Sus scrofa: one gene and its partners. The protein of the gene in region 1 interacts with the protein of each later gene in a biochemical or structural test. Links are inferred from orthologs where the notes say so. Each region holds a gene or a part of one and is shown in the gene's direction. Other genes may lie near its edges. The genes, in order: GTF2E1, GTF2F1, GTF2B, ERCC3 and TAF6.

The links.
Region 2: the proteins of GTF2E1 (region 1) and GTF2F1 form a complex in vitro, tested with the Homo sapiens proteins (3 studies listed by BioGRID). The link is inferred for Sus scrofa from reciprocal best matches to the Homo sapiens genes GTF2E1 and GTF2F1.
Region 3: the proteins of GTF2E1 (region 1) and GTF2B form a complex in vitro, tested with the Homo sapiens proteins (2 studies listed by BioGRID). The link is inferred for Sus scrofa from reciprocal best matches to the Homo sapiens genes GTF2E1 and GTF2B.
Region 4: the proteins of GTF2E1 (region 1) and ERCC3 form a complex in vitro, tested with the Homo sapiens proteins (2 studies listed by BioGRID). The link is inferred for Sus scrofa from reciprocal best matches to the Homo sapiens genes GTF2E1 and ERCC3.
Region 5: the proteins of GTF2E1 (region 1) and TAF6 form a complex in vitro, tested with the Homo sapiens proteins (2 studies listed by BioGRID). The link is inferred for Sus scrofa from reciprocal best matches to the Homo sapiens genes GTF2E1 and TAF6.

Annotation. Positions count from the first base shown.
Region 1 is NC_010455.5:139,606,139-139,612,199, reverse strand, and holds the start of GTF2E1 (general transcription factor IIE subunit 1), read left to right. Parts: upstream 1-2,716; 5' UTR 2,717-2,855; exon of another isoform or gene 2,856-3,036; intron 3,037-6,061. Other genes in the region: RABL3 (rab-like protein 3), read right to left, coding at 2,523-2,568.
Region 2 is NC_010444.4:72,685,383-72,691,259, forward strand, and holds the start of GTF2F1 (general transcription factor IIF subunit 1), read left to right. Parts: upstream 1-2,230; 5' UTR 2,231-2,625; coding exon 2,626-2,637; intron 2,638-2,721; coding exon 2,722-2,768; intron 2,769-3,514; coding exon 3,515-3,587; intron 3,588-5,283; coding exon 5,284-5,477; intron 5,478-5,877. UniProt on the Homo sapiens protein: TFIIF is a general transcription initiation factor that binds to RNA polymerase II and helps to recruit it to the initiation complex in collaboration with TFIIB. It promotes transcription elongation.
Region 3 is NC_010446.5:127,520,758-127,526,919, forward strand, and holds the start of GTF2B (transcription initiation factor IIB), read left to right. Parts: upstream 1-2,044; 5' UTR 2,045-2,180; coding exon 2,181-2,197; intron 2,198-6,162. UniProt on the Homo sapiens protein: General transcription factor that plays a role in transcription initiation by RNA polymerase II (Pol II). Involved in the pre-initiation complex (PIC) formation and Pol II recruitment at promoter DNA.
Region 4 is NC_010457.5:25,195,376-25,200,779, forward strand, and holds part of ERCC3 (TFIIH basal transcription factor complex helicase XPB subunit), read left to right. Parts: intron 1-1,211; coding exon 1,212-1,526; intron 1,527-5,404. UniProt on the Homo sapiens protein: ATP-dependent 3'-5' DNA helicase/translocase. Binds dsDNA rather than ssDNA, unzipping it in a translocase rather than classical helicase activity. Component of the general transcription and DNA repair factor IIH (TFIIH) core complex.
Region 5 is NC_010445.4:8,022,878-8,028,966, reverse strand, and holds the start of TAF6 (transcription initiation factor TFIID subunit 6), read left to right. Parts: upstream 1-2,122; 5' UTR 2,123-2,239; coding exon 2,240-2,256; exon of another isoform or gene 2,257-2,382; intron 2,383-6,089. Other genes in the region: CNPY4 (protein canopy homolog 4), read right to left, coding at 1,723-1,837. UniProt on the Homo sapiens protein: The TFIID basal transcription factor complex plays a major role in the initiation of RNA polymerase II (Pol II)-dependent transcription.

The DNA of each region.
Region 1 (6,061 bases):
GTAGGTTTATGTTGGAAGCATACAGCTAGGCATTTAGTTAGCTTGATTCAATGCTTGAGCTTCTAGTTCAGCTTAACTGTGTCAGAGTAAACATCTCTATGCAGTAATATTGTATAGGTGTCTATGAATTAACTGCCTTGGGTGATAAGAGTTAGCTAACATGGGATGAACCCTAAATAGTAAGAACAATTGAAGTACCAAGAATGGTGGCTAACTTTAAGAATGTTGAGAGGTTCTGATCCCATGTTTTCATCATTAGGACTAAATTAGATCAAAAGAATGACTTAATTTGCTGCAGAAAAAAGTTCAGTATGATCAAATAAAAGCCAGCTCCAAAAGAGTTGGTAGTGTGTTAAGCTCATCCCCTATGTCTGAAAGAACAAAGACAAAAGAGTATGAGATGTTAGAGAAACTTTCAGGATTTCTCACTAAATTATAAAATATCTCTAAGAAATACAAACAAATCCCAAGTCATCCCTTTATATATTTGCAAAATCCTCAAATTTTCACGGGGTAAATAAGCCTTTATTCAAAAGCAAACTTTGAAGTTTAAACACAAAGGCAGATAAAGTGTAAAAAGTATATTCAAATCTGTCACATAGCAAATCACTGTTAAAAGAGAACTGATAAAAAGGTAATAACTGATTTTACACATATAGCCTAACATCAGTGAATGTGTGACAAGATCAGTCACTTTCCCAGTGGGCACTGCTGTGTCTTCTCTTTTACAACTAAACTATAATAATTTAAAGAAACCTACTAATTGCCTGATCATTTTCCCCATTTAATGCAGCAGCCAATTTAACCCTGTTGCATAACGCACTGATTCCACAGTTATAGCCCCAGCATCTAATTCAGTACCTGTTATGCTGAAGGTTTTAAAAATTTTTTTTGGGGGGGGGAGAATAAATCAACTAGTTTGAACAAAATGTAATGTGAAGAGATTGTTAGATGCAAAAGAAAAGGAATCATAAATGCGAGAGAGCACTCACTTTACATATGATCAAAAACTGTTAACTCTGGATTCCAGTTCTAAATCTTACTTGGTGATACTCTTTCAAAGTCCATTTAGACTAGCACTGCTTTCTTTATCTGTAAAACTGAGTGCTTTTATTAACTTCAACACCACTTCAAGCAAAAGAACTAAAGCTGACATAAATTAGATTATGTTCATAGAATTTCAAAGTGCAACTTTCTGAAGGGAGTATTAAATGCTCAGTAAAATATTTTGTAATTCAACTAATCTTCAGGCAATGTAAAAATGTTCTCAACCATCTCCTCTCCCCAACAACTTTATTGTTTGGTCGGGCTGTTTTTCAGGCTCTTTGGGGTCCTTAACACACCAAGCGAGGCCAGGGATGGAACCTGCAACCTCGATTCCTAGTCAGATTCTTTCCACTGCTCCATGAGGGGAACTCCTGTTCTCTTTAATCTTAATTGAAAACCTCTTATGTGCTGGGTTGTAAGAAATAGAAAAATTAAGATGAGGGTCATACTCATCTTAATGCTAAGCCCAGTTTACTCCTAGTGTTAAAATTATTTTGACACCTTGGACACTTGACAACTGGAACTGAAGTTTTCATTTCCCCCTTTCCACTTCACTCTCATTCTGTTTCTCATTATCTCCATTCCTAAGCTCTTTAAAAACTTGGAATAAATGGTAACTTTGCATTTCATAGATATGCTTTTCTGGAGTTGACTTTTGGATATTTGCTCTGATAGACATTGTGTCAGATGTTTGGAGCCATGAGCTGTGGTGTAGATCGCAGACCTGGCTGGGATTTGGCGTGGCTGTGGTGTGAGCCGGCAGCTGTAGCTCCGATCGATTGGACCCCTAGCCCGGGGAACCTCCATATACTCTGGGTGTGGCCCTAAAAAGCAAAAAAAAAAAAAAAAAAAAGAAGAAAAGATTAAAGAGAATAAAGAAAACAAGAAGCCCAGTTGAGCGTAAAAGATTACTACTACCTGCTATTTCACTAAATAATATAGGTTAGTGTTTTAAGCACACAGGCTCTCGGTTCAAACCAGTTCTGTCATTTACAGCCCTCCGCCTCTCTTTTCTCATCTGTAAAATGGGATAACGGGCCTGATCTCAGGATTGAGTCAATATATGCAAAGCACCTGGTACAGTTTCCTAAGCGCACGTTTGATTTCCTTAATTAACAAAATCTCTTAAAGGAAAGGTCCTAACTTTGTCTCAGCACGGCGTCTAATACCACACTCAGTATCCGCATATGTTTTAAAACAAAGGATCACTAAGCTGCGGTCATCTGGTAGACAGATGTAAAAACCTAAAAAAAACAGAGAAAGGCCCGGGCTCCGCGCCCCCAACACTTGCGAAGCCGCGGCTCGCTTAAACAGAGCAAAGTCCTCTGGGAAGTGTAGTCTTTGGGCCTTGAGAGGGATGTCAGCCCCCCGCCAGAGTCAGTTCATCCGCAGATGGGTGGAGAGGGAGTGAAAGGGGAGGATTTTCATATAACTCAAAAGTGTCGGGAGCCCCAAAGGTGGGTTAAGCGGCTCACCTGAGTCTCCCAACACCAGTACTTTCACCCGATCCAGGGACGCCATCTTGCCAGCTCCTTCCTGAGGTTAACGCCTATTCCGGGATTGAAGACCAATCAGAGCTGGGTATGGAGGGCCGAGTCTTCAATGCCATTGGCCAATCGGAATGTGACTGATTTGATTGAAGGCCTCACCGTGCTGATTGGCCTGCCTGGTTAAAAGTAGCGGGTGGTTTCTAAAACTGGTCGCAGGAATATGGCGTTTTCTTTGTCGCATAAGTGGCGTGGCTCGTTTAAGCCGGTAGTTGAGGCGCAGAGGGAAGCTGTAGTGGGAGTGTACGAGGATTCGCTTTGGTAAACCTTGTTCCCTGTTCCTTGTCCTCGGTTCCCTGGTTCGACGTCGCCTTTCAGGGTGTCTTCGTTGCTTTTTCCTTAGCTGTCCTCCTCCCCCTTACTCTTTTGAGTCGGTTCTCTGCTTGGTCCTCCAAAGAACCATTGACCCCGGAGCGGCCCATGTGCGACCTCGGGTAGGACTGGCTTGGCTGCGTCAAGTGTGGCCTCTGGACTCAGCTGGCAGAGTCCGAGGGAATTTAGGGCGTCGTGGTTGTCACAGTGGGGCGGAAACGAACATTTGGGAACGGGGCTGGTCCAGAGGTTTCGCGGTGATAATGCCACTTTATGTATGAAGCCGTGGAGACTATCGTGAAGTGTGGCTAACTGAGAAAAACCAGGTGGATGTATAGAATCCACGTTATTCCAGATTTGGAATAGTAATATATCGAAATCTAACAGAACTCCCCACGTCCACTTCTTCTTTCCCTTCATTTTGCAGTTTGCAGTCAGCAGAATCCTTTAAAATCGCTAATTTGGTGCTGTCACCTCCTGCTTAAAACCATTTGAAGTTTAAGAAGAGGGTTTTCAATACCCTACCTTTCTTTACTCTGGAAGCTGCAGTGGGGAAAGTGAATGGGGGGAGGTGAGGGCTAACAGGGTGGGCATGTTTGAAGAACACGTGCTGAGGAGACCTATTGAAAGTTTTATGGAAATACTTGACCAGCTGTTATCCATACTGGAAAATCAGTGGTGAACAAGATTAAGACCCTTGTCTCCGATGTAGACATTGAGAAAGTATAACTATTCACTGCCACCAAGAAGGGGAAAGAGCTATGGGAGCATGTGAAAGGGGGATGATTCTAAACTGCTAGGGAGAATCTGAGAAGGTGTCTCTGAGGAAATGTCATTTGAGATGTGAAAAATGATTAGGAGAAGGGACTTCGGCCTTTGTTGTGGGGGCGTGTGTAAAGGCTTGGAAGCAGAGAGCATGTGTGGCTCCTGGAATTGAGAGAATGCCATTGTGGCTGCAGATGAGGCTGAGGAGCCTAGACCCAGTACAGAGAGTGCATTCACTTTCAACTTTGTTCTTACAACTCTGCCTGGTGTTTGTGTGATTAGAATACATATGGTTTAAAAACAAAAGCAACTTGCTTTCAGGGGTCTGGGTTAGGTAGGGTAGGGTTGTAGGTGAGACTGATAGGTGACTGATGGACTGATAAGACTAAAAAGAAGAAACCAGACATGGCCCCCAAAGGTCACACACTCAAAAGTCTCCAGAGGCCAGCCAAGCTCCTTCCCTTTTTTAAAGTATCAATTGCTCTTCAGCTGAGTGTTTCCATGTGGGAATATGATCTCACTTTTTCCCTCAGATATTTCCACTTTTGAGAAGTAGCTGAAAATTAAAATTTATGTGATATCTCATGATTTTTATTTCATTAAAAAAAAAATGGGGGGTTTCCTATGGTGGCTCAGCAGAAAATGAACTCTACTGGTATCCATGAGGATGCAGGATCCGACTTTTGTTTTTTGTTTTTTTCCTTTTTTGGGGCCACACCTGCGGCTAGTGGACGTTCCCAGGCTGGGGGTGGAATCAGAGCTGCAGCTGCTGGCCTAACCACAGCAATGCCAGATTCATGCCTCGTCTGCCCCCTGTATTGCAGCTTGTGGGTCCTTAACCCCCTGAGCGAGTCCAGGGATCAAACCTGCATGGATATCCTCATGGACATTACTCAGGTTCTTAACTCACTGAAGCACAACAGTAGCTCCAAATCTCATGATTTTTAAATGTTGACCACTAATTCAGAAAATTTTCAAAACATTTTGAAATCAAAATTAGTCAAATCATGTGGCAGAAGCTGCCAATTTGAGACCTCTGACCTAAGTATTATAAAATCCAGAGATTGAAGAGATTTAGCATCAGTGGGGAAGTAGAGGCAGTGAAGGAGAGAACACAGTGGTCAGAAAAGAGGATTTTTAGAATATAGCGATTTTGAACAAGATGGCACATACATTTCTTTGCTGAGCTCCAGATTCATTTGTTCAGCTACCTGTGGGACATCTTCACAGTAACATTCTGTAGTATTTCTTCAAACACAAGCAACTGGAACTGAATGCCTCATTTCTTCCACCTGTTCCTCTTCAGGTGTTAGCCTGTTTCTCAGTATATTTGTCTCTTCCCAGTCATACTGGCTTAAAACAAATAGCTATATGTTATTAATGGGTGTAAGGTTTCAGTTTTACAAAACGAAGAGCTGTGGAAGTGGTTGATGGTGATAGCTGGATAACATTATGAATGTGTTTAATACCACTGAGCTGTATACTTAAAAATATATAATTGGTAAATTTTATGCTGTGCATATTTTATCATAGTAAAAAAATTGGGGAAAAAAACCCCAAATATTTAAAAATTTCCTACTGTGTATCTTCCATTTGCAATATATTATGGGATCCTTTTGATTTTGTCTCTGTAAGTTTCATTCATCCTGTCCTCTTATATTTTTGCCTTTTGTAGTTTAGGTTTGATTACTATAATTCTTAATACTTCCACAGGGCTTCCATCTTCATTTATTTCAGCCCATTTCTCAAAGTGTTTTAAGAATTACTTATCTAAGTAGGGAGTTGTTACGAAGGCCAACACTTAATGGAACTCTTATGATGCCAGCCTTGAAAGCAGAACACTGCACATGATATTATCTCATTTACTCCATGTATCAACTCTATAAAGAAGACATTGTTAATCACTTTTTATATATGATGAAACAGACCAAGAATTTTCCAGGGTCAGAGGCTCAGAAATAGTAGAACTGAGATTCAAAACTCAAAACAATGGGACTCCAGAGTCCTCATGTCACTCCCTTGCTCATATCTTTAGCACTTTAGCTAAGCTGTTTTAGGCAAAGGTACCAGGCTGAATGACAAGTGAACAGGGCCTTCCCCATGCAGGATGTGCTTTGGTGGGATGAGTAAGAGCCACATACCCAGTTTATTGGTAACAGTGGTCAGGGACTTACTCTGTATATTAGGGTCACCAAAAGAGCTTAAAAAATTAGTATGATGCCTAATCTTACTCTCTTAGACCAGCTGAAACAGAATCTCTCAAAACAAGGCCCAGGGTAGGTGTCTTGAGGTGCTGGAGCCTTTCTGTCATCCCAGCAGATCATTCTGCTTTATAGCCCAGGGTTTAGAACTTTTGACCTGGAAAATGGAGTATATGGAATGGAAGGTCA
Region 2 (5,877 bases), on another chromosome or scaffold:
CGGATCTTCTGGCCCCATCCGGTGCCCTGTTGGGCCTCCTGCCCCAGCAGCTGGCCCAGCCCCATATGGCAGAAGCCATACTTCGTTGCCGTGTTCTTGCACTGTGTCCCTTTGCTACAGCCTGGGCCACCATGAAGATGATCAGGGGGGACTTGAGGATGTCTCTGGTGCCCAGGGAGGAGGGAGTAGGGTTGGTGCCTGGTAGGGGCCGACAGGCACCAAGGTGATTGTAGGCACAGCTTGACAACATGGGACACACAAATGCTGGTGGACTCGTTTTTGCCCTAGGGTGGCATCTACAGGTGCATTTCCACATCTAGCGGCATATCCAGGTAGGGCATGCATTAGTGTTGCTGTGGGTTGTGTGGATAAGGATGTGAATCCGAACAGGCCAGGCCCTTTGCATGCAGCACCTTCTTGAAAGCATCACAATAACCCCATCACCCCATTTTACAGTTGAGGAAACTGAGATGCACAGAGGGGCAAGGACTGGCCCATCCCTCCAGTGTCATTCCATACCATCTTCCCCTTCCTTTACAGTATTTCAGCCTCAGTGGCCTCCCTTCTGTCCCTGGAACTCATTCCTCCCATGATGTTCCTCCCCATTCCCCCCTCCCTGGAAGTCCCTCCTTCAGGTCACAGCTCACCCATCAGGTCTTCTATATGCTCTGTCTAAAGAGCCTCCCATTCCATTATTCCCAGTCTTGGAATCCCATTCCCTCCAGCAATGCCCCGATCAGTAATGATTTTGCCTGTTTACTTGCTCTTGTCTCCCCAGCCAGATCGCTGTATTCCATACTCCATGAGGACAAGGACTATTTGTCTTTCTCATCCCATCTCTATATTTCTTGTCTTTTCTTTTTTTTTAGGGTTGCACCGGGGGCATGTGGAGGTTCCCAGGCAAGGGGTCCAATCGGAGCTACTGCTGCTGGTCTACGCTACAGGTACAGCAACGTCAGATCTGAGCTGAGCCTGAGACCTACACCACAGCTCACAGCAACGCCAGATCCTTAACCCACTGAGCAAGGCCAGGGATCAAACCCACAACCTCATGGTTCCTAGTCGGATTTGTTTCTGGTGCACCACGATGGAACTCCCCGTCTCTATATTTCTAAGTAGTTGGTGTGGTTTCTGACGTATGGTATTGGGTAAGGAATAAATGAAAGTCCATAACTATCAGACCCACCCATGGAGTGCTGTAGTTTATGGTGCAGTTTTGGTGTCTTTGCTTAGCCAACTCCTAGTTTAAAACGTCCCTCTTGGAGTTCCCGTCGTGGCTCAGTGGTTAACGAATCCAACTAGGAACCATGAGGTTTCGGGTTCGATCCCTGGCCTTGCTCAGTGGGTTAAGGATCCGGTGTTTCCATGAGCTGTGGTGTAGGTCACAGATGCGGCTCGGATCCCGCGTTGCTGTGGCTGTGGCGTAGGCCGGCGGCTACAGCTCCGATTGGACCCCTAGCCTAGGAACCTCCATATGCCGCGGGTGCGGCCCTGGAAAAAGACAAAAAGAAAAAAAAAGTCCCTCCTCCCTGAGCCACCTGCTCTTTCCCCGTAGCAGCCCTGTTCTTCCTGGCTTGTAGGTATCATTTTCCGAGACTGTATAATCCACCACAACCTCCAAGAGGACAGGAGATGGTTTGTCATATTCACCATGAACTGCCCAGAACCCAGCCAGCAGGTGCTGAAAGTGGATGGAAGAATGGCTGGTCCCGAGCATGCGAGCATGCGCAGTTGTGTTACTACATGGTGGGGGAGGGGTGTGTGCACACCTGGAATTGGACAGGGAGGGTACTCGTACCTCTCGTACCTCTCTCCTGCCCTCCATAGCCTCCTTCCCTTCCATCCAGTTAGCCAGCCACCTCCGCGATGTTACCCTTCTGGGGCCTCAGGGCCCTGGCCATCTGTGCAGCTTGAACTTGCACAGACCCACTCCGCCAGCGGCCGGTGGGGTGATCCCCACCCAGGCCTTGACCCCTCCTGGCTCGGTTCCAACGTCACAAGGGCTCCTGGCCCGATCACTTGACGAGATTATGGTTTCCCTCCTGGGGCTTAGGGAAAAAATGAACACCAAAGAGACTCAGGTGGAGCCGCAGTGTTTCCGTGCGAAGGAGGTCTCAGGCACCATGGTAACGCGGCCTCCTCGGACTCACTTCCGGAGTGGAGTAGCGCATGCGCAAGGCTTCTGGGCGGCCAGGAAAAAGGCTTGTTTCTCCACCCCTTCCCAAGATGCCCCGCGGTCCTTAATTGGGACGTCACGAGCGGGGTGTTACTATACAGCGTGATTGAGTTATCCGCACTATATATTGCAGTCAGCTGGTGCAGGAGCAGTAGTAGGTGTTGCTTTTAAGTCAGATTCGGAGCCTGTGACGCGGCCCACGGGAGAGTTTCGCTTCCGGTTTAAGTGGCTGCGCAGGCGCAGACGTGGCACGAGAGGCCTCAGAGGCTGACCGCTGTTCCAGCGCCACCCCCGGATAGTTTTTCCTAGGATTGGCGGCTCGGGGTTCTCGATCAGGGACCAGAGAGCCGAAACCTCGAGGGCGGCTTCCGCGGGACCTAGAGACCCTCATCCCGGGGGAGTCGAAAAGGACGAGGATCCGACCAGATTTCTACCATTGCGCATCGCCCATGGCGGCCCTCGTAAGTGTAAGGCGAGGGGTTTCCGGGGTCCTGGCTGCAGCCTTTATACTCCCTCACTCACTGCACTGCTTTCTCTCCCCTCAGGGCCCCTGCAGCCAGAATGTCACTGAATATGTTGTCCGAGTTCCCAAGTAAGTCCCAGACCCCAGTTCCCCGTCTCCTCCCAAAAGGGACTAAGCCTTCAGGCACCTCCTGATTCTCCTTCCAGACCGGTAGCAATCTAAGGGCAGGGCTGAGGTTGAGCCGAGGTGTCTGGGGCATCACTGTTTTTTGAAGAGAGTGAATGAATGAACGAATGGGTGCATTATTAATACACAGTATGGGGAGTTCCGTGTGGCTTAGAGGTAAGAAACCCAGCTAATATCCATGAGGATGCGGGTTCAATCCCTGGCCTCACTCAGTGGTTTAAGGATCCAGTGTTGCTGTGGCTGTGGTGTAGGCTGGCAGCTGCAGCTCCGTTTAGACCCTAGGAACTTCTGTATGTGGCCGGTTTGGCCCTTTTAAAAAGCAAAAAACAAAACAAAAACAGTGCCGGTATGATGCAGCCCCCCTACCTAGCATTCCCTCTGCCACTGCCCACTGTGACTGCTGGGTGGATTCTTGTTGATCCTGGAAATCCTAGTTCCACTATATTCCCTATCTGCCACCTCACCCCCCTTGCCTAGGGCTGAGTTCCCAGTTAGCGCCAGATCTTGGGTTCCTAGAAATCTTTGTCCGTTTTTCTGAATGGAGTTGAGAATATGGATCCCACTTTGCCAACAGACTGGGAACCTCTGAGGTCTTTTATGGGTCCCCAGCATTGCCTGACACAAAGGGCTGAGCCAGGGAGGGTTTACTGAATGAATGACTGAGCACTGCCTCTTCATGTCCATTCCAGAAATACCACCAAAAAATATAATATCATGGCCTTCAATGCAGCTGATAAAGTCAATCTTGCTACTTGGAATCAGGTATGTTGAGGTTCGGAGGGGGTGAGAGAACCCAATCATGGACTTTGTGGTTGTTATAGTTGTTTAGTTGTGATAGTAACCAAGGCTTAGCTTCCTCAGCTCTTCACCATGGAGATAAGTGATGACTAAGGCCGAGGCCAAGTTGCTGAGCATGCCTGAGGGGTAAATGCAGGAGGTTTTCTCCTGAAAGGAGCTGTGCCTACCAGTGGGCATCTTGGGCCTGGATTTATCTGGGCAAGGGAGGGGGCTGCCTCCTACAGATGCTCTAAGAGCCCCCATTGTCAGAGGCTCTAGCAAGGGCTTTGGGAGCTGTCTTAGCTCATTCAGGAGGCTATAGCAGAATACCAGAGACTGTGGTTTCTCAACAGTAGAAATTTATTTCTCACAGTTCTGGAGGCTAGAAGTCTAAGATAAGGGACCAATAGGTTTGGTGTCTGGTGGGGCTCTGCTTCCTGGTTCACACCTGGCTCATTTCACTGTGTCCTTGCTTGGTAGAAGGGGGAAGGAGCTCTCTGGGATCCTTTTTTTTTTTTTTTTTTTTTCCGTGGCATGCAGAATTTGTCAGGCCAAAGATCAAACCCGAGCACCAGCAGTGACCTGTGCCACTGCAGTGACAACGCTAGATCCTTAACCTGCTGCACCACAAGGGAACTCCTCTGGGGTCCTTTTTTTTTTTTTTTTTTTTTTGGTCTTTTTAGGGCCGCAACCACGGCATATGGAGGTTCCCAGGCTAAGGGTCAAATCAGAACTGTAGCCACCAGCCTACACCAGAACCACAGCCACAGCAATGCCAGAACCGAGCCATGTCTGCAACCTACACCACAGCTCATGGCAACGCCGGATCCTTAACCCATTGAGTGAAGCCAGGGATCAAACCCGCAACATCATGGTTCCTAGTCAGATTTGTTTCCACTGCACCATGACAGGAACTCCTGGGATCCTTTTTAAGGGCGCTCATCCCATTCATAAGGCTCCAACCTCATAACCTAATCACTGGCAGGACCCGTCCTAAATATCATCACACTGGAAATTAGGTTTTAACATATGCATCTTGGGGGGACGCAGACATCCATCCATAACAGCAGCCATTAAAGGTTAAACAGAGAAATTGTAAAGTGAACTGGCCACTGAAGGGTCAAAGGCAGGTGAAAGGAGAACAGGGGAGAACAGGGGGAGGTGAGCCTTGATGGGGCTTGGAGCAAACAGCTTATGAGAAGTGGCTGGATTCTGACTTTTCTTTTTAAAAATTCTTTTTCTTACTTTCTTTTTTGCTGCCTCATGGCACATGGAGTTCCCTGGTCAGGGATCAAATCCCAGCCGCAGTGTGCAGCTGTGGCAACGCTGGATCCTTAACTCACTGTTCTGGTGAACCTGTGTACTGGTGCTGCAGAAACAGCATGGATCCCACAGCTCCATAGCAGAAACTCCTCTTTCCTTTTTTTTTTTTTTTTTTTTTTTTTAAACTTTACATTACGAAATGACTTCAAACTTTCAAAAAGCTGCAAAAAAGAGACATAGTACAGGGCTTAACCTAGATCCCTTTACCCACAGTCACTGAGCACCTTTTGGCCAAGCCAGAAATCAGCTCTGAATGGCCACTTCTCAACTTGGAAGGGAGGAAGGGGTGTCGTTGGCAGGGGCAGAGGGGGGCGAGGGCAGGCTCCCTCATGAGAGGTGTTGCTCCCTGATCCCTCAGGCCCGGCTGGAACGTGACCTGAGTAACAAGAAGATTTACCAAGAGGAGGAGATGCCAGAATCAGGCGCTGGCAGTGAGTTCAACCGCAAGCTCCGGGAGGAGGCCCGGAGGAAGAAGTACGGCATCGTCCTGAAGGAGTTCCGGCCGGAGGACCAGCCCTGGCTGCTCCGCATCAATGGCAAGGCAGGCCGGAAGTAAGTGCCTTTCCCGCCCTCACTCCTTGGGTACCCTGGCTGAACTTGCACGGGAACTTGCACGTCCGGCTGTACAGTGTGGGTGACACCTTATCCTTTATTTGGGAAGATGAGCCGAGTGGATGCCAGGGCAGGAGGTCGGAGGGGCAGGATGCAGGAGGGCGAGGCTCAGGTCCTGGTGCTCACACTGAGGGGCTGCTGGGGACCTGGGGGTTGGACGATTGGGAGCACTGGAGGTTAGGTGGCTGGAGGGCCCTTAGGCAGAACAGAGAGCATGGAGGCAAAGAACGCCCAGCCCTAGGGACTGTCACAGCATGATACTGACAGAGTGGGCAGATTGGGAGGGCTATGCGCGCCAGGTGGGTGGGAGGGACCCTCTAAGATTGCTAGGAAGAGGGCC
Region 3 (6,162 bases), on another chromosome or scaffold:
GAGTTCCCATCATAGCTCAGTGGGTTAAGAACCGGACTAGTATCCATGAGGATGCGGGTTTGATCCCTGGCCTAGCTCAGCAGGTTAAGAATCCAGCATTGCCGTGAGCTGTGGTGTAGGTCACAGACGAAGCTCGGATCCAGCGTTGCTGTGGCTGTGGTGTAGGCCAACAGCTGTAGCTCCAATTCAACCCCTCGCCTGGGAACCTCCATATGCCCTGAGTGCGGCCCTAAAAAGAAGATTTTTTTAAAAAGTGAGTTAGTTTAAATAATTGATTGAAATAAATCAGGTTAATTAATTCACATCATTAAGTTAAATAAAAATGATTATATGAACAACTCCTAAGTTTTGGTAAATGCTAGTCTAGGTCATTGACTCCTAGGTGACAAAACCCCAAGTCTGTGTGTTTCAATCTCAGGATCAGATACAAAGATTAAGTGGGATAATGTTGATGAAATGCTTTGTAAATTGCCAACGCTATACTAACAAGAGAAGAAGGAATGGCCTACCTAAGCTGCTTCTATTTTAATATAAAAGTCATCCTAAGTAGGTTATGACAGATAAGAGATTCTTCAGGTGGGGCAGGTGTAATTTAACCAGTTGCCCAGCTTCCCTCCTCTGGGGTTTCACTTTCTCTGATAGCTTCTTCCTTCATGTAATGCCCACCCTAAACCACCGGGTGGTGGGTCCTTATCTTCACGCTCAAGAGTGCCCCCCTGGTTCCCTTCCTCCTCCTCTCACCCTTCTCCCAAGGCAAGAAGCTCTGCTATGGAAACTTCTGCCAGATTGGGGCGCAGCACCTGCAAGCCCTCTCCTGGTAACATTTGGCACAGCTGAGATGAATTGGCTTTTTGTGTGTGCGCTTTTTAGGGCCGCACCGGCAGCATATGGAGGTTCCCAGGCTAGGGGTCAGATCGGAGCTGTAGCCGCCCACCTACATCACAGCCACAGCAGTGCCAGCTCCTTAACCCACTGAACAGGGCCAGGGATCAAACCGGCTTCCTCATGGATGCTAGTCAGGTTCGTCAACAGCTGAGCAATGACGGGAACTCTGGTGTTTTGAAGCTTTACCAGATATTGTGGGAGAAAAGCCCCCACAAAAATAGTCAGGGTTTTTAATTGCAGAGTTAGTTGGGAAGACCAAAAAAAAAGCTCCCCCATCCCCACTCCTATATGAGTTCCTAAACTTCTCCCTCTTACACACCTTTTTCTTTCTAAGGAAGCAAGACTTCCCCACCTTTCAAGGAAACAACGTTTGCCCAGTGGTGTCAGTTCCATGCCCCAAAGAACAAAGCAGCCGCAGTATTCTAAGTGCTCATCCCCACAGAAACCCTTTTCCCTCTATTCCCACTGGGCCAAGGGTAGTTTGTTTTCAACGACGTAGTGATAGTGTTGCTGTTGTTTTTATTAATTTTGTGCCATTAGTTTGGGTATTTAATAAATTTAGGGACTTTTGGGGTATCTGAACGTTCTGGTAAATTCTCTGTATTTCAGCTATGCCCAAGTTGCAAAGACCATGACAACAACAGGAAGGTAAGGCCCGCATCTCCCTGCCTCACGGGTGCACAATGCTCTCCCACAGTTTGTTTCATCTCCTGCCAATTCTAAAAGGGTACACAAGGCAGATGCTATTGCCTCTTGCCCCCAGGTGCGAAGGGCGAAGGAAGACACAGCTTGCTAGGGGATGACTGAGCCTGAACTGACATCTGGGCTGACCTAAGTGCATTCCTCTTTATTCCAAATACCTAGGTGGAATCGCCCTCTGGGCAAGTAAGAGCTGAGCGCCGACTCCCGGCGGGGGAGGGGTGGTTAGCCCTGGGGGGTGAGGGCTTTGCCCCCTCCAAAGCCCGGGTTGTCCTGGTGTTTTGACCCAGCCAAGTTGAGGGTGTCAGGTGTAGCCCGTTTGCTGGGGCCCTTGAGCGTTTTCCTGAGTAGTTGCCTCGATGTGCCGGCGACCGGGAAACCACCGAGACCGAAAAGGAAAATGAGAAAACGCAAAGCACGTGGCGTCCAGGAGCTCACTTTCTTGGCCCTTCTCCCGACCCGTAGCCGCGCCCGATGACGCCTGCGTGGACGGCTCGCCTATAAAAGCTCGGCTCGCCGCGTCTCGTCGCCGCAAGCGCTTCCTGTTTGCGGGCGTCCGTCGTCGTCGCCGGTCGGGAGCCGGAGGGGCCGTGAAGATGGCGTCGACCAGCCGGTGAGCCTGCGGGGGGCCGGGCAGCCGAGGCCGGGCGGCGGGCGGGCCCCCAGGGCCGGGGTGCGGGGACAGGCGGCGGGCGGCCGGCCGCCGGGACAAAGGCGCTTCCCGACGCGGGGGCGGCGCGGGGTACCGGCCGCCGGCGCTTCCCTGTCTGGGGCTCCCGGGTCCCGGCCCCGGCCTCGCGTCCTCTGCAGCTGGTCCAGCCGTCCTGTCTTGTTCGGCTAACTTCTTGGCCTGTTTTCCGTCTGCGGCTCCACCAGCCCGAGGGGCCGTGACTCCTCCTCCCCGAAGAGCGGGAAGGGTCAGGTCCAGGCCGCCGGCGACCTGACAGCCGGAGGGTTGGGGCGGACGGCCGTCCCTGGCGTCCCGCAGGTGCGCGGTGGGAGCCGGGGCCTTTCTGAGCGAGGCTGCGTTCTCTCGTGGGAGGCTCCTGTCCGCACGTCTTCTGCGTTCTGCTCCGGAAAGGCTTGCCTGCGGAAGACGACCGACGTGTGCGGGGAAGCCTCTCTTCTGTAGGTTTTGAGCGTGGTGTAGTCCAATCTGCAGGAAATGGATGCAGTGCCATGGAGACGGCCCTTAGTCCTGTGACCTGAGAAATGCTTGCAGACCCTAATTGCCTCCCTCGTGACCACTGTGAGGTAGATACTAGGGTTTGTGCCCAAGCGTAAATACACCGAGTCGTACCAGTGGTGTCTCTTCCGAGGTTAATGTGAGAACAGTGTAGCGTCTCTTTTCTGTTACCGTACTTGGCCTCTCGTTACTCAGAATGTATTGAAAGTATCAAATCCAGTTCTGTAGCTTCTAGAAGACAGGCACCTCTGGCATGATTTTTCTGAGCTTGGTATCGTCTGTGGCGTTGAATTCCCTGTGAAAGCCATTATCACAAAATAGGAAGCTGGAGAAATCCAGGCCCTTTCTGGTGACGGCCAAGGCCCATTACTTTTTGTTGCTGTATTTCAGCAAGGAGGGAGGAGGAGAGGGCTTTAGCTAAAACAACTGGAGGCAGCTCTCAAAGCCAGTGACACTTGTTTACTGATTGTACTTCTGGGATTGAACGTTCTGTCTGGGTGTGGCTCTGTCAGGTAAGGCTTCCTTGTAGGTAAATGGAGAACGAGCTTCCCAAAGACACCTGAAAACAGCTGACAGTCTGCTGGGGCAGTCGGTGGGAAAGGGGGTCACAGTGGGGCTTTTGTAGATAACAGAGCAGAAACTTGTGTTTGAAGGAAATGTTGTAGCAGCTGGATGCAGCACATTCACTGGATGGATTTTTTACTGAAAGAACACATGGCACGTGTCCTCTCTGTGCCCTCATTGTCTCCATTTGTTAAAAACGTCCTTGAAATACGTTTCTCGGGGCATGTCCGGATCTTAAATATGTCATTGCGGTTGTCTGTCTCTCCATATACCAGTGAGAACAAAGGTAAATGTTAGGATTTGTGCTGTGAGCTTTTCCCTGAGGAAGATGTACAGGTACTGGGCTCTGGAACGGCCTGCTGTCTTCAAAGCGGAGAACAGAAATACTCTGAGTTCAAAGCTACACTTTACCACTTACTGATTCTGTGACTTCAGGAAAATCGTTCTGTGAGCATTGTTTTTAAAGTGGGGATATTGTGGGAGTTCCCGTTGTGGCTCAGCGGAAAGGAATCTGATCTGTATCCGGGAGGACGCAGGTTCAATCCCTGACCTTGCTCATTGGGTTAAGGATCCCGTGTGCTGTGGCCGTGGTGCAGGCCGGCAGCTGTAGCTCTCGTTGGACCCCTAGCCTGGGAAGCTCCATACGCCGTGGGTGCAGCCCTAAAAAGACAAAAATCAAGTGGAGACATTGCTTAATTTGCAGGGTTGCTGTGAAGATGAGTAATCTGTGTACAGTACTGGGCACACAGTAGGCCTCCCGAAAATACTGGAGAGTGCAGTTGGGAGCTGCCTGGCTCCTTAGGTCGCCTAATTGTTCCAGTGTCAGTGGGGGCAGTTTGCTGGATTCTTCCCTCTTGTGCCCCCTTTGTCCTCCCACCACCCCACTCTTGAGGTTCCTCATTTGTTACCCTGGTGGGTAGTTTGTTTAGAAGTGGACTGTTTCCAGTAGTTTCATTTTATTTTGCGTTGAGTAACACACGTGCGAATTGTACACACCCAAGAAGAGTGAGCAGCAGCTTCCTTCCTTCCTGAGCTCCTGGCTCCTAAGTCTTCTCCAGAGCAGCCCTTGTAGCCAGTTGCTCCGAGTTTTCCGAAGGATTCTGTGCTTTAGCAAACGTGTAGTCCTAACCTGTGTTCCTTCCAAAGAGCAGTCGAAGAGGAACGCTCTCTGCCCCTTTGCTTTTCACCTGAGAAGAACCACAGCCTGACTTCGAACACCATAGATTTGTTTTACCCGATGGAAGCTTTATGTATAAATGCACGTGTCGTCCCCTGTGGGGGTCTTTTGATCAGCATTTTGAGATTCATTCATGTTATTTCGTGTAATTGTAGTTACGCTTTTTTCACTTTCTATAAAATCTCTGCAGTGCTCTTTCCGCTTAGCCCATCTTCGACATGTTTTATATCATTTTTATATTCATATATGTGCATGTGATATTCTCTCTGCCATTTAATAGTGCAGAATGTGTCGGTCCCATGTATGCTGTGTGTCACAGCTGCCCATTTTATACATTTGTAATTTCTGTTCTCTGCCGACGTTTCCTTTGACAACCTTTTATAATTATGCCAATTTCTTAATATTTTATTTGTTACAATTTATTAAAATATTTTCCTAATAGGAATTTATGGAATAAGCATGAATATAAAGCAAACTTCCATCCTTTATTTTCCCAGTGAAAAGACCTGTTTTGGTTAACCTGATTATATAAATTTTTGGAATGTGGATTATTTTATCAATTTTTTAGCGGGAATTACCTGTTATCTTTGATTTGTTTGATCTTTTGTCCTTTTAGGGCCGCACCCAAGGCATATGGAGGTTCCCAGGCCTAGGGATCTAATCAGAGCTGTAGCTGCCGGCCTGCACCACAGCCACAGCAACATGGGATCCAAGCCACGTCTGCGACCTACACCACAGTTCACGCCGGATCCTTAACCCATTGAGTGAGGCCAGAGATCAAACTCGAAACCTCATGGTTCCTAGTTGGATTTGTTTCACTGCGCCACGATGGAAACTCCAGAAGTACCTCTGTTGAGAGTTAACATTCTGAATTGTACTTGGTAGTTTGAGAAACTATCCAAATTCACAGATACCTGTTTAACATGGTTTCAGAATGGTTGATGTTGTCTTTTTACATGTGTATTTGTGATGGCTAAAACATAACTGTTCTATAGTATTTCAGGTGGGAACTTTTAAAAAGGGGTTATTTTCAATGATAGCAGACATTTTATGATTGTAAGGTCACATCCCCAGAAATAATTAAGAAACGTAAGTTAATGGAGTTCCTGTCGTGGCTCAGTGGTTAACGAACCCAACTAGCATCCACCAGGACGTGGGTTTGATCCCTGGCCTCGCTCAGTGGGTTAAAGATCCAGCTTGCTTGGAGTTCCCGTCGTGGCACAGTGGTTAATGAATCCGACCAGGAACCATGAGGTTGCGCGTTCAATCCCTGGCCTTGCTCAGTGGGTTAAGGATCCGGCATTGCCGTGAGCTGTGGTATAGGTTGCAGACGAGGCTCGGATCCCATGTTGCTGTGGCTCTGGTGTAGACCGGTGGCTACAGCTCCAATTCGACCCCTAGCCTGGGAACCTCCATATGCTGCGGGAGCGGCCCAAGAAATGACAAAAAAAAAAAAAAAAAAGATCCGGCTTGCTGTGAGCTATGGTGCAGGTCGCTGACTCGCCTCAGATGCCACATTGTGCCATAGGCCGGTGGCCACAGCTCTGATTTGACCCCTAGCCTGGGAACCTCCATATGCCACGGGTGTGGCGCTAAAAAGAGGAAAAGACCCCCCCCAAAAAAAAATGAGAAATGTGTGTTAAATGTCTTT
Region 4 (5,404 bases), on another chromosome or scaffold:
CCAGGTGTTGTGGGACGTTATATACTGGGGTTAGGGTCATATTCTTTTCAGTCTCTCTTTTGAGTTATGTGTATTTGCAGGCTTCCGAGCCCAGCAACTTTGTTCCTGGACTGCTTATTACAGGGCAGTAGCAAGAAAGGGCAGTAGCAGCCCCCTGGCACCTGACTGCTACCATTTTTCCAAGAAAGGGCAGTAGCAGCCTGCTGGCACCTGACTGCTACCATTTTTCTTGGTCATGTCAGGTCTGGCCTAGATTTTTGGCCAGAGGTCACAGCAGACTCTGCTGGGACCCTACCCCAGACTCAAGAAGGCAGACTAGCGAAGGGGCCTACATCTTCAGATTTTTTTTTTTTAAAGCTCCATGGGCTGTTTCGAGGCACATCCCCAGTAAAGGAATGATTGCTATTTAAAGGAGTACCTTTTTTTTTCTTCCCCTGTCTTTTTAAGGGTGCACCCATGGCGTATGGAAGTTCACAGGCTGGGGTCGAATCAGAACTATAATCACCAGCCTATGCCACAGCAACATGGGATCCGAGCCACAGCTCACGGCAATGCTGGATCTTTAATCCCCACTGAGCGGAGGCCAGGGAACCAACCTGCGTCCTCATGGATGCTAGTCAGGTTCATTAGCACTGAGCCACAAAGGGAGCTTTCAGAGGAACTTTAATCTTGATCTTCCAGTGGTAGATAGTAGTAGCCTGGGAAGCCCTGGACTCTCCTTCCTCTGTCTTTGCCATCAGCTGCCTGCTCCCACATTCCTGGGTGCTTGGCCCAGTCAACTGCTCAGTCCTCATAGGCATCTTTACCAAGTCCCTCCTGAGGTGGTCTCCTGGGTGCACTGTATCCCAGCAGCACCCTTCCCGGGCCTGGGGCACGTGACACCTTGGCTGCTGTCTTCCCATGTCTCAGATGGCCTTTCACCTGTGGTTGGTTTTGACAAATGGTGTATTTCAGTATTTAAACAAGGTGCATGTACAGTGCTCTAGTAGGGCCTGCCTGGCCCTTGTCTCTCCTAATGCTCACATCTGTGTGTGAAAAGACATATCTCCTTTTTCTAAAGAAGGAAACAAGTTCAGAGCAGCAAGCACCTCAGCAGTGCTAGCTGTTAGGATGATTACAAATAATTTTGGCCAGATGCATGTGCTGAGTCCTCTCTGTCCTCCTTCATCTTGACTGGGCCTTGGGTAGGATTGCCCTTTGGTTTCTCCTAGGCGCTGGGAAGTCCCTGGTTGGAGTGACAGCTGCGTGCACTGTCAGAAAACGCTGTCTGGTCCTGGGCAACTCAGCTGTGTCTGTGGAGCAGTGGAAAGCCCAGTTCAAGATGTGGTCCACCATTGATGACAGCCAGATCTGCCGCTTCACCTCCGATGCCAAGGACAAGCCCATAGGCTGTTCCATCGCCATCAGCACTTACTCCATGCTGGGCCACACCACCAAAAGGTCCTGGGAGGCTGAGCGGGTGATGGAATGGCTGAAGACTCAAGAGTGGGGCCTCATGATCCTGGACGAAGTCCACACCATACCTGGTGAGCAGGCTGAGAGCAGAGATGCCCACTCAGCGTGTGGACAGACTGATTTCCAGTTCTTGGGTTGAGGGAGGATTGGCTGTGCAGTGCATCCATCTTGCTGGAAATACTTGCGAGATGAGGCTTCTGAATAAGTCATAAGCACAGGGTGGGGGGTGCACACTGAACACTTCCTTCCTTAACCACTGGCCCCAGAGTAGTCATTTAGAAAGTGAAATTTTCTTCCTTCTTCTGTTTCAACTTACCTTTAACCCTCTGCCCTTTTTTTTAATGGTCCAGAAAAACCCAGACTAGGAGAAAAAGGTACTTACAGTACTGCTTGTTTTATTTGAAGACTAAAGCGTTGATTCTTAATATGTTATAGAAGCCTTACTTGTCCAATATTGCAGGTGATCCTTCTTTTAAACAGCCATATTGATATAATTTATAAACCATAAAATCCACCCATTATAAGTATACAATCTAAGAGTTTTAGTGGGATGGAGTTTGTGCGGCCATCACCATGATCCAGTTTTAGAGCATCTTCCTCATACTCGCTTACTTGCAGTGTTATCATCCTTAGCCCCAGGCAACTGCTGAATTGCTTTCTCTTTGTAGAGACATGCCTTTTCTGGAAACATACTAACAGAATCGTATAATAGGTATTTTCCTGTACCTGGCTTCATGTAATTTTTTGTCCACATTGTAATGTGTTCCTTTTATTACTAAATGGTATTCCAGGCATAACAAATTAAGGGGTAGCCCTGATCAGTTAAGCAGTGTAAATTAGAGTTTACTCTGAATTCAGTGAAATCGGAGGCATTTTCACATAGAGCATTCAAAATATGGTCAAAATGGCCTTTCCATCTGTTTTTTCCTGTGAAACAAGAGCTCCTCCTGGAACTGTGGGTGTCTGCAGAGACCCGGAGGTGCTGGTACACCCGGTAGGGAGATCTTTCAGGTAGAAGGAAGTGGTCCTGCAGGGGTAATAGTACAGCTCTGGAGCTAGAGGAACAAGGGCAGTAGTCATGCTGAGGTTGAGAGTGTTGGACTTCCTGTAGGACCTGAAAGCAGGCGTTTGGCTTGGACTCTGGGTGAGAGGCTGCTTGAGGGGTTTGAGCAGAGGGTGATCTGAGTTAATGGCTTCTGGGTTGGGAAGAGACCCAGGAAGTGGGTGGAAAGCAGCCAGGCAGCTTAGCTTGTGGAAGCCCAGCCCAAGGCTCGAATCAGTCTGATTCTGATTCTGTGGTGAAGGCTAAGCTGACAGGCTGGATGTGGCTCTGAAGGAGGGAGAGGGCAAGGCTGCCATAAGGTTTGGGCTGGAGCCGTTGGAAGGAGTAGACGTTCATGGAGATGGGGAAGCCTTCTCCTCTGGAGAAACATGATCAGGAGTCATGTTTTAGACACGTTTATTTGATTGCCTGTTAGACCATCAGGCAGTGGCCAAAATGTTAGAAAATGGGCAAAAGACCTGAGTAGACTTGTCACCCAAGAGAGTATACAGGTACCAGTGAGCATTTGAAAGGTGTACAGCTACTTTGGTCCCCTTGGTAAGTTGCCACTGCATACCTGTTGGAGTGGCAGAAATAAAAGCATTGACTGTACAGGTACTGAGAAGAGTGCAGAGCAAATGAACCTATCAGACGAGGCCAGAGAAATCGCAAAATGCAGTCACTGGGGCTTCATTAGAAAAGTACCACGTGACTGGGTGGTTCTAGCCTGGGCGTCTCTCCCAGAGAAGTGAAAACAGGGTCACACAAAAAGCTGTGCATGAATGTTTAAAGCAGTTCTGGTCATAATCTCCAGAACCTAGAAACAAGGGAAACTCCTGTCAGGGAGAGGCTGGTTGGGCAGCTGGGGCACTGTCCACTGGGACGCTGCTCTGCTGGAAAAGGGACGCCCGCTGCCTGCGGTGTGGGTGCTGTATTACGGCAGGCAGGCCTGAGTGGTTACAGGGTGACTCCTTTGGTCTAACATTGAAAAGGCAGAACTATAGTGATGACAACAGGTCAGGGGGCTGGGGGGGGCTGCCTGTAAGGGAGAGCCTGGGAGCTTTTGGAGTCTGGTTTGCTTAGTACATGCATCCTTCCCTGTGTCAGCCGTTAGGGCTGTAAGGATGCAGCAGCAGGATGGGGCTGTTGTATAGATACTTCAGGGAGGGCTGCTTTCTGACTGCAGAGCCTACAGTCAGGGTCCTGCCTTCCTGGTGGGTAAAATCCCCCAGTGCCACCTCCCTGGAGCCCACATTAGTTTGGTGTCTCCGTTGCCTGGGCTGCCATGTCTTTCTGATGTGGGAACCTGGGCTGGGGTCCTGGGCTGCCCTTTTTTGGAGCTGGCACAGTCCTTGGAGATAACCCTAGCCCTGTTTTTTTTTGTTGTTATTGTTGCTTTTTTTAAAATGAGAGTTGCAACGTTTATTTCAGGTTCTCTCTTGTTTTTTTTTTTTTTTTTCTTTTTTGCCACACAGGCAGTATGTGGGAATTCCTGGGCCAGGAATTGAACCTACACCGCACAGCAGCAACCAGAGCCACGGTGGTGAGAACGCAGGAGCCTCAACCCTCTAGGCCATCAGAGAACTCCCCCTGTTTTTTTTCCAAGTGTGTGTGTAGCCATGTTAGGCTTCAGTGTGAGAAGCTCTATAAGACATGGATGTTTGGGGTTAGACAGCCCTTTGTTATTTCAGATGATAGTATATATATTTTTTCTTTTTTGGCCACCCCCAGGCATATGGAGTTACCAGGCCAGGGATCAGATCTGAGCTGCAGTTGTACCTATGCCAGATCTTTTTTTGTCTTTTTGCTTTTTCTTGAGCTGCTCCTGCGGCATATGGAAGTTCCCAGGCTAGGGGTCCAATCGAAACTGTAGTCACCGGCCTATGCCAGAGCCACAGCAACTCGGGATTCGAGCCATGTCTGCGACCTACACCACAGCTCACAGCAACGCTGGATCCTTAGCCCACTGAGCAAGGGCAGGCATCGAACCCGCAACCTCATGGTTCCTAGTCAGATTCGTTAACCACTGAGCCACGACGGGAACTCCTCTATGCCAGATCTTTAACCTACTGTGCTGGGCTGCGATCTGAACCTGCATCCTGGTGTGCAGAGATAAGGCTGATCCTGTTGTGCTACAGGAACTCCACTGTTCCCTATTTTTGGTTTGGGTTTTGATGAAATCTACCTTCTTTTCCCTCATATTGTTATGTCTATCTCTGAAGTATCATTCACCTTTGTCTTTAATTTTACATAAGATAAGCATGACAAACATTTCCACCTTCCTTTAAAGTATTAGAATTTTAAAAAGTGAAGCTATAGGAAGTTTTGGTTTGTTGGGTTTGTTTTTTGTTTTTGTTTTTTGTTTTTTTGCAATGACAACACCCCGTCTTTTAACCTGCTGTGCCACAGGAGAACTCCTAAATTGAGTTTTTTAAAATGAGTATCTCATACACATTTATATGTTTAATTTTTGATACATCGCAAAGAATTAAAACGTTCAAATGAAGCGAAGGCAAAGGGAGTTGCTGGCTGAGCAGGATGAATATGGCTAGAAGAGTGTGGAGAAGGACGTTTCATTTCTGGTCTCTGGGAGGATGGGGGAATGGAGCATATCTGGCTCCTTCCTTTCCTCTGATTCTCCAGCTGCCCAGCCATACTCCTGGAAACCAAGGTAAAAGGCTTCAGGGACAAGTTCCTTTCATAGTTCAGAGCTCAGTGGTGGGTTTTAACTGCCGTTTATGTTTGTGGCAAGAGTGGAGCCATTGTGAGGAGGGTGCTGGAGTTTCCTAGCTTGGGGCTCCCTCCAAGCCCCCTCGCCCTTTTGTTCTCCTGTTCACCCTTTTCTTGAACAGGACTGAAAGTGGTGGTCAGGAGTTCCCACCAGTTCTTGTTTAGAGCCAAAGCCCT
Region 5 (6,089 bases), on another chromosome or scaffold:
CAGGGATCGAACCCATGCCACAGCAGTGACCCAAGCCACAGCAGTTGACAACACCGGATTCTTAACCCACTGAGCCACAGTTGGCTATTTTTTGTAGTTGTTTACTGAGCTCCTAGATGAACAACAGCAATACAGAGAGCAATAAGATCCATAATCCCTATCCCCTGGATATTGCCATTGTCACTGGGGACAGATTAAAAAGATGATAATATTGTGTAATGATGGACCCTATAATGGGGGTTAAGACCAAGAAGCTTAATTTCACTAGGAAATGCAAACTTCATTCAATGACTTCCTTCTAGCTCACAGTTTCCTTAAGGGTGAGCATTGTGTCTCCTCCACCAGTCTTTCCAGCATGTGACCTGGCCCACAGTGGGCCCCAAGAAAGGGAGGGGCCCACTATGTGCCAGGCAAGCTAAAAATGGACAGGTGACACAGGTGTCTAAAGCATGTCTATGGCACTATCCTAGGACCAGGGAAACACAGGTATTCTCCTTCTCTCCAATTCAGTGGGAGGTGACAAATAAGGAAGGAGGCTTCCAAAGGAGGTGACATTTAAAATGGGTCTTAAAGAATGAAATTCAGAAGGAAGAGGATCATTCCAGGCTAAGGAAAAAAAAAAGAAAAAGAAAAACGTGCAAAGCACAGACGTGCAAAAGGATGAGGCAGTCTCAGTTGCACTGAGAAGTTTAAGATGGCTGAAACATGGGCACTTTGGGGATGGGAGGTGGGGTGTGGAAATGTAAGAGAGATGGAGGCCAGACAACAAAGAGACTTGGATGTTATGGCCAAGACTTTGGCTGTAATCTAATCACAGCAGGAGGCCTGAAGAGGTGTTAAAGCAAAGACCACAATTAAGACTATGTTTAGAAAAACTGACAGGTGTAAGAGGGTATGAATGGAGACACAAATGAAAGGAGAGGAGAGATTAGGACTAAGTAGTGAGGAACACTGATATTGAAGTGCAGTGTGCAGTGAGGCAAAGGGGAAAAGAATTCAGGAAGAAATTAAAGCCAGGAAGGCAACAAACTAAGAAACCAGGGCACTCGATGGTCCAGATCTGAAATGTCTTCTCCCAGCTAGGCCCCAAAAGTGATGCAGCCACAGAAGATGTTGCTCACTGTAAAATCCATTCAGCGCACACCCTCTTCAAAGCCTTACAATTATGGGGAACCTCTCCCAGCTGTGTGGCCTCTTCTTTCTTTTATGAGCTTCAAGGGCTGATTTACTCACTCCTATATCCTCTCAGGAGAGCATGAGGCCTGTAATTTGGGACAGTCTCTGCCAGGGTGGAGCAGAGGATGTCCACAAGGTATTGAGCCTGACACCCCATTCCTGCAGGCTCCCCAGATTTAGGTCTGGTGGCATACGGAAAACACATACACACACACTCATACAGACACACATTGAAGATGCTCAGTAGAGTGGGCGGTCCTGGACCGATAGTCTCTGAACTACAATTCCCACAAACCATTGGGACCCAAACCAGCAAGAACAAGCAGGCTCCCTCTGAATTTCTCATGGGAATTGTAGTACCATAGTTTGGGAGGAGCGCTATGCATTCTTTCCCTTGACCCCATTCGAATTCCATCAGGCTCCACAAGCATCTCCCTCGGGTCCTTAAGGAGGTCGAGTGACCCACCCATCATAGTCCATTTGGTCTGGCCCAGACGAAGGAAGTGGGGCAGAGAGATGCGAATAGGGGCTACTCCCTTTAGATACCTTCGCATTTGCTGGGCAAGCGTTCTGTGTCATCGTCTTCCTCCTTCATTGTCCCAGCGCAAGCACCGTACATAGTCAAAATGAAAAGCAACATTCCCAACGGCACAGGTCCCATGATCAAGGGTCGTCCACAACCAACCACCCCCTTGCCTTCAAAGCAACTCCGGACAGGCAGCGGGCCCTTTAAATCCCGAAGGTGTCTGCTGCAGCATTAATCCAACGCAAGGCAGGAGGCGCACGCGCAGTGCCGACCCCATAGCGGGCGGGGCCTCGTTGCGCTCCGGGCTTCCCCGCCTAGGTTTTGTGGCGCCTCCCGAAGGTCCTGGCCGCCGGATAGTGAAGGAATAAACTGAAGTAATTACATCAAGAGGGTGTGCTCCTTACACGTAGGCACAGAGACACCATTTTTATATTGTTTCAGGCCGTGAGCCCAGAGGGCTTATTCCGGCTTGGGGAAGGGGCCGTAATCTGTTCTCGGTCGCTGCCAGGACCTGCGCCCGGAGGGGGCGGGGCCAACATGGCGCCGAGCGCCGGGTGAGCGGCGCTTTGGCGGCGGTGAGAGGCTTTTCCTGCGCGGGGAGCTCGGCTGGCGGGGGCGGGTCTGAGTGGTACCCGGGATTAGGCCCTTTGAAGGGCCCGAGTGGGGACTGCAGGAGGACGGTTGGTTGTGTGTCCTTGCGCTTTGGGACTCTGTGTGTGTGCACTGGAGGGATGTTGGGGGGATGAGGGGGGCTCTCTACGCCTTCTTTCGCGCTGTCCCCGTTGCCCGGGGACCTTCGAACCGCTTCCCTGTTGGGGAGACTGCCACATGGATCTAGGTCAAGTTAACCCTCAGTGAAGCCTTCCTGCCGACTCCACTGGCCTGAGGTTTCTTAAGGCCGTAGCGTGTTTTGTGAGCCTTTACTGGCAGAGGGTACCGCAGGGTATTGCAGGATTAATGGGAGTTCGCCAGGGAACTGGGACACCATCGCCTCCTATATACCCGGCTCCAGACACAGAGTATGTGTTGAATAAGTGTGTTCCCTGCAGATAAGGCTTGTAAAAGGGGGGAGGAGACTTGGGATAGTTTGAGAACTAAATTGTCTTTCACCTTCATCTTCCCGCCCCCTCCAGTAGGCCCACACCCGCCCCCCACCTACACCCCACAGTGAGTCCTAAACACTTTTGACATTAGCTTTCCTAATGCCAACTTCAAGCGAGCCACTTTCCTTTTGGCCACAAAAGTAGATTCCGAGCTTGGACCTATGTCTTGTTGATTCGATAATAGTGGTACCGAGTATTTATTGAGCACGTACATGTTTAAGTATTACAACTCATTCATTTATTCAACAAATGTTTATTACTGAGTATCTAGTGTGTCTCAGGCTCCATTCTAGGGTCTCAGAATACATCAGTGAACATAACACCGAACATCTCTGTGGACACGGTGAGGAAAAGGGAGATGTAGTCATAAGAAGTAATACAATGTGTACTAGCAGATATTAAATTCCATGGGAATTTTTTTAAAGCAGAGTGGAGGTGGGGTGCAGTAGTGAATAGGGTGATAGAAATCAGCAGCCAGGGACATCTGGGGAAGAGCATTCCAAGCAGAGGGAACAGAGCAAAGGCCATCACAGCAAGGAGGACAGTGGGGCTGGATCAGTGTGAAAGGAAGGAAAGGAGGTCAGAGATGTGATGGGGGGAGAGCAGATCACCAAGGACCTTGTAGATGGTAACGAGGATTTGGGATTTACTCTGGCACATTGGGAGCCATTATAGGGTTTTGAGCAGAGAAATGACCCAATCTGACTTATATTTTTACAGAATCACTCTGGCTGCTATGTTGGGCATAGATAGAGGGAGTAAGAATGGAAGAAGACCTTGTCAGGAGGCTAGTGAAGTTCCCTGGGAAACAGATGAGAGTGACCTGGCCATGCAGTGGGAATGGAGAGATCAGGCTGGATCACCTGATGGATTTGATATGAGGACTCACATAAAGAATGAGCACCTGGACCAATGGCATTGCTGTGAAGATGAGGAAAGCTGAGGCTGGAAGAGATGGAGATGGGGAGATCAGGAGTTCATTTTTAGAAGAGGTTTTTAGTAGGTTTTTTTGTGTGTGGTTGTTTTGTTTTGTTTTTAGGGCTGCACTTGCGGCATGTGGAAGTTCCCAGGCTAGAGGTCCATTCAGAGCCACAGCTGCCGGCCTGTGCCACAGCAGCTTGGGATCCAAGCCGCATCTGTGACCTACACCACAGCTCATGGCAATGCCAGATCCTTAACCCCTAAGCAGGGCCAGGGATCAATCCCACACCCTCATGGATACTAGTTGGGTTCCTAACCTGCTGAGCCACAACAGGAGCTCCTTAAGGAGACAGTTTGATATAGAAGTCCGGAGTTAGGAAGAAAACTCTGGGCTGGGAATATAAATATGCTGTCTTCTTTGAGTTCTCTTATGGCTTAGCAGGTTAAGGTCCCACGTTGTCACTGCTGTGGCTGGGGTCACTACTATGGTGTGGGTTCAGTCCCTGCCCTGGGAACTCCCACATGCTGCGGGTGAGGCCAAAAGAATTTTTTTTACTATCCTCAGCCTATGATACTGAAAGCTATGAGTGGTTGAGGTCACCAAGGTAATAAGTATAGCTCATAACTATACAAGGACTGAGCCCAGCAGACTCCAACGTCAAGCAGATAAGAAGAGGAAGAACCAGTAAAGGAAAGGGAGAGAGAGTGGCCCATGAGGTAGGAGGAAGAACCAAGAGAAGGTGGGGTGGCAGTGGTGTAAAGACAGTGTTTTCAGAAGGGAGCAGGCAACTATGCTCTGTGCCACTAAGAGGTAGAATAAGATGGGGAAATTTGAGAGGACTTTGGATTTGACAGTGTGGAGTCTCTGCGACTTTTCTTTTGGCTGTGGCCTCAGCATGTGAAAGTTCTAGTGACAATACTATATCCTTAACCACTACGCCACCAGGGAACTCCCACGGTGACCTGATGAGTGCTTTCAAGGACCTAGAGGAGTCAAAATCCTGCTTGGAGTAGGTTCAAGAGAAAAGGAGAGGAATTAGAAAGAGAGATAAGACAGTCTTTCAGGGAGTTTTGTTGCAAGGAACCAAAGAAAACCAGAGTATCACTAGCAGAAAAGTGGAATAAAAAGTTTTTTCCTTAATTTTTAATTGTGAAATACATATAAAACTTACCATCTTTCTTTTTTTTTCTTTTTATGGCCACGCCCACGGTACATGGAAGTTCTCTGGGCAGGGATTGAATCTGAGCCACAGCTGTGACCTGTGCCACAGCTGCAGCAACACCGGGCCCTTTAACCCACTGTGCCAGGCCAGGGATCGAATCCATGCCTCTGCAGCAACCCAAGCAGCTGCAGTCTCCTTAGCCCACTGCTTCACGTCGGGAACTCCCCTCTTAACCATTTTTGAGTGAATCACTTTTAAGTTCTGTGGCATTAAGTACATTCACATCGTTGTGCAACCCTCCCCACCATCCATCTCCAGGACTCCTTTCATGTTGTAAAAGAGAAACTCTGTTCCTGTTAAACAGTAACTGCCCCTCCTCCCCTCCCCAGCTTCTGACAGCCACCCCTCTGCTTTCTATCTCTGAATTTGACGACTCTATGAGCCTCATGTAATTGGAATCACATAGTAGTTATCCTGCTGTGACTGGCTTATCTCACTGAGCCTGATGTTCTCAAGTTTTATTCGTGTTGCAGTGTGTGTAGGAATTTCCTTCCTTTTTATTTATTTACTTATTTTTAGGTCCTTACCTGCAGCATATGGAAGTTCCCAGGCTAGAGGTTCACTTTGCAGCTGTAGCTGCCAGCCTATATCACAGCCACAGCAATGCCAGATCCTTAACCCGCTGGGTGGGGCCAGGGATCAAACCCGTGTCCTCATGGATACTAGTCAGGCTCGCTATCACTGAACCACGAGGGGAACTCCCTCCTTCCTTTTTAAAAAGGGATAATATTCCACCATATGGAAGGACCACCGTTTCGTTTTTTTTAAGGTGGGAGAAATGACTGCATTTTCTCATCACATTCAATTGTATAGGCATATAGGCTCAGAGGGAGGGTTGTACTGAACCAATACTGTATCTTTGTCAAGCATGAATAATGATGCAAGAAAGGGCAAGAAAGATGAAGGCAGGCACATTAACAACCTTAGGGGAAAAAAGACACTTTCCACATTTTACAGAGAAGGAACCCAAAGCGGGGAAAGTTTAAGTACTTGCCCAGGTAACATAGCTAGGAAGCGCTAGGGCTGGGGTTTAAACTGAGAGCTGGAGTTCCTGCCATGGCACAGTAGGTTAAGAATCCCACCACAGCTGCTCAGGTTGCTGCCATGGCTCGGGTTCGATCCCTGGCCCAGGAACTTCCA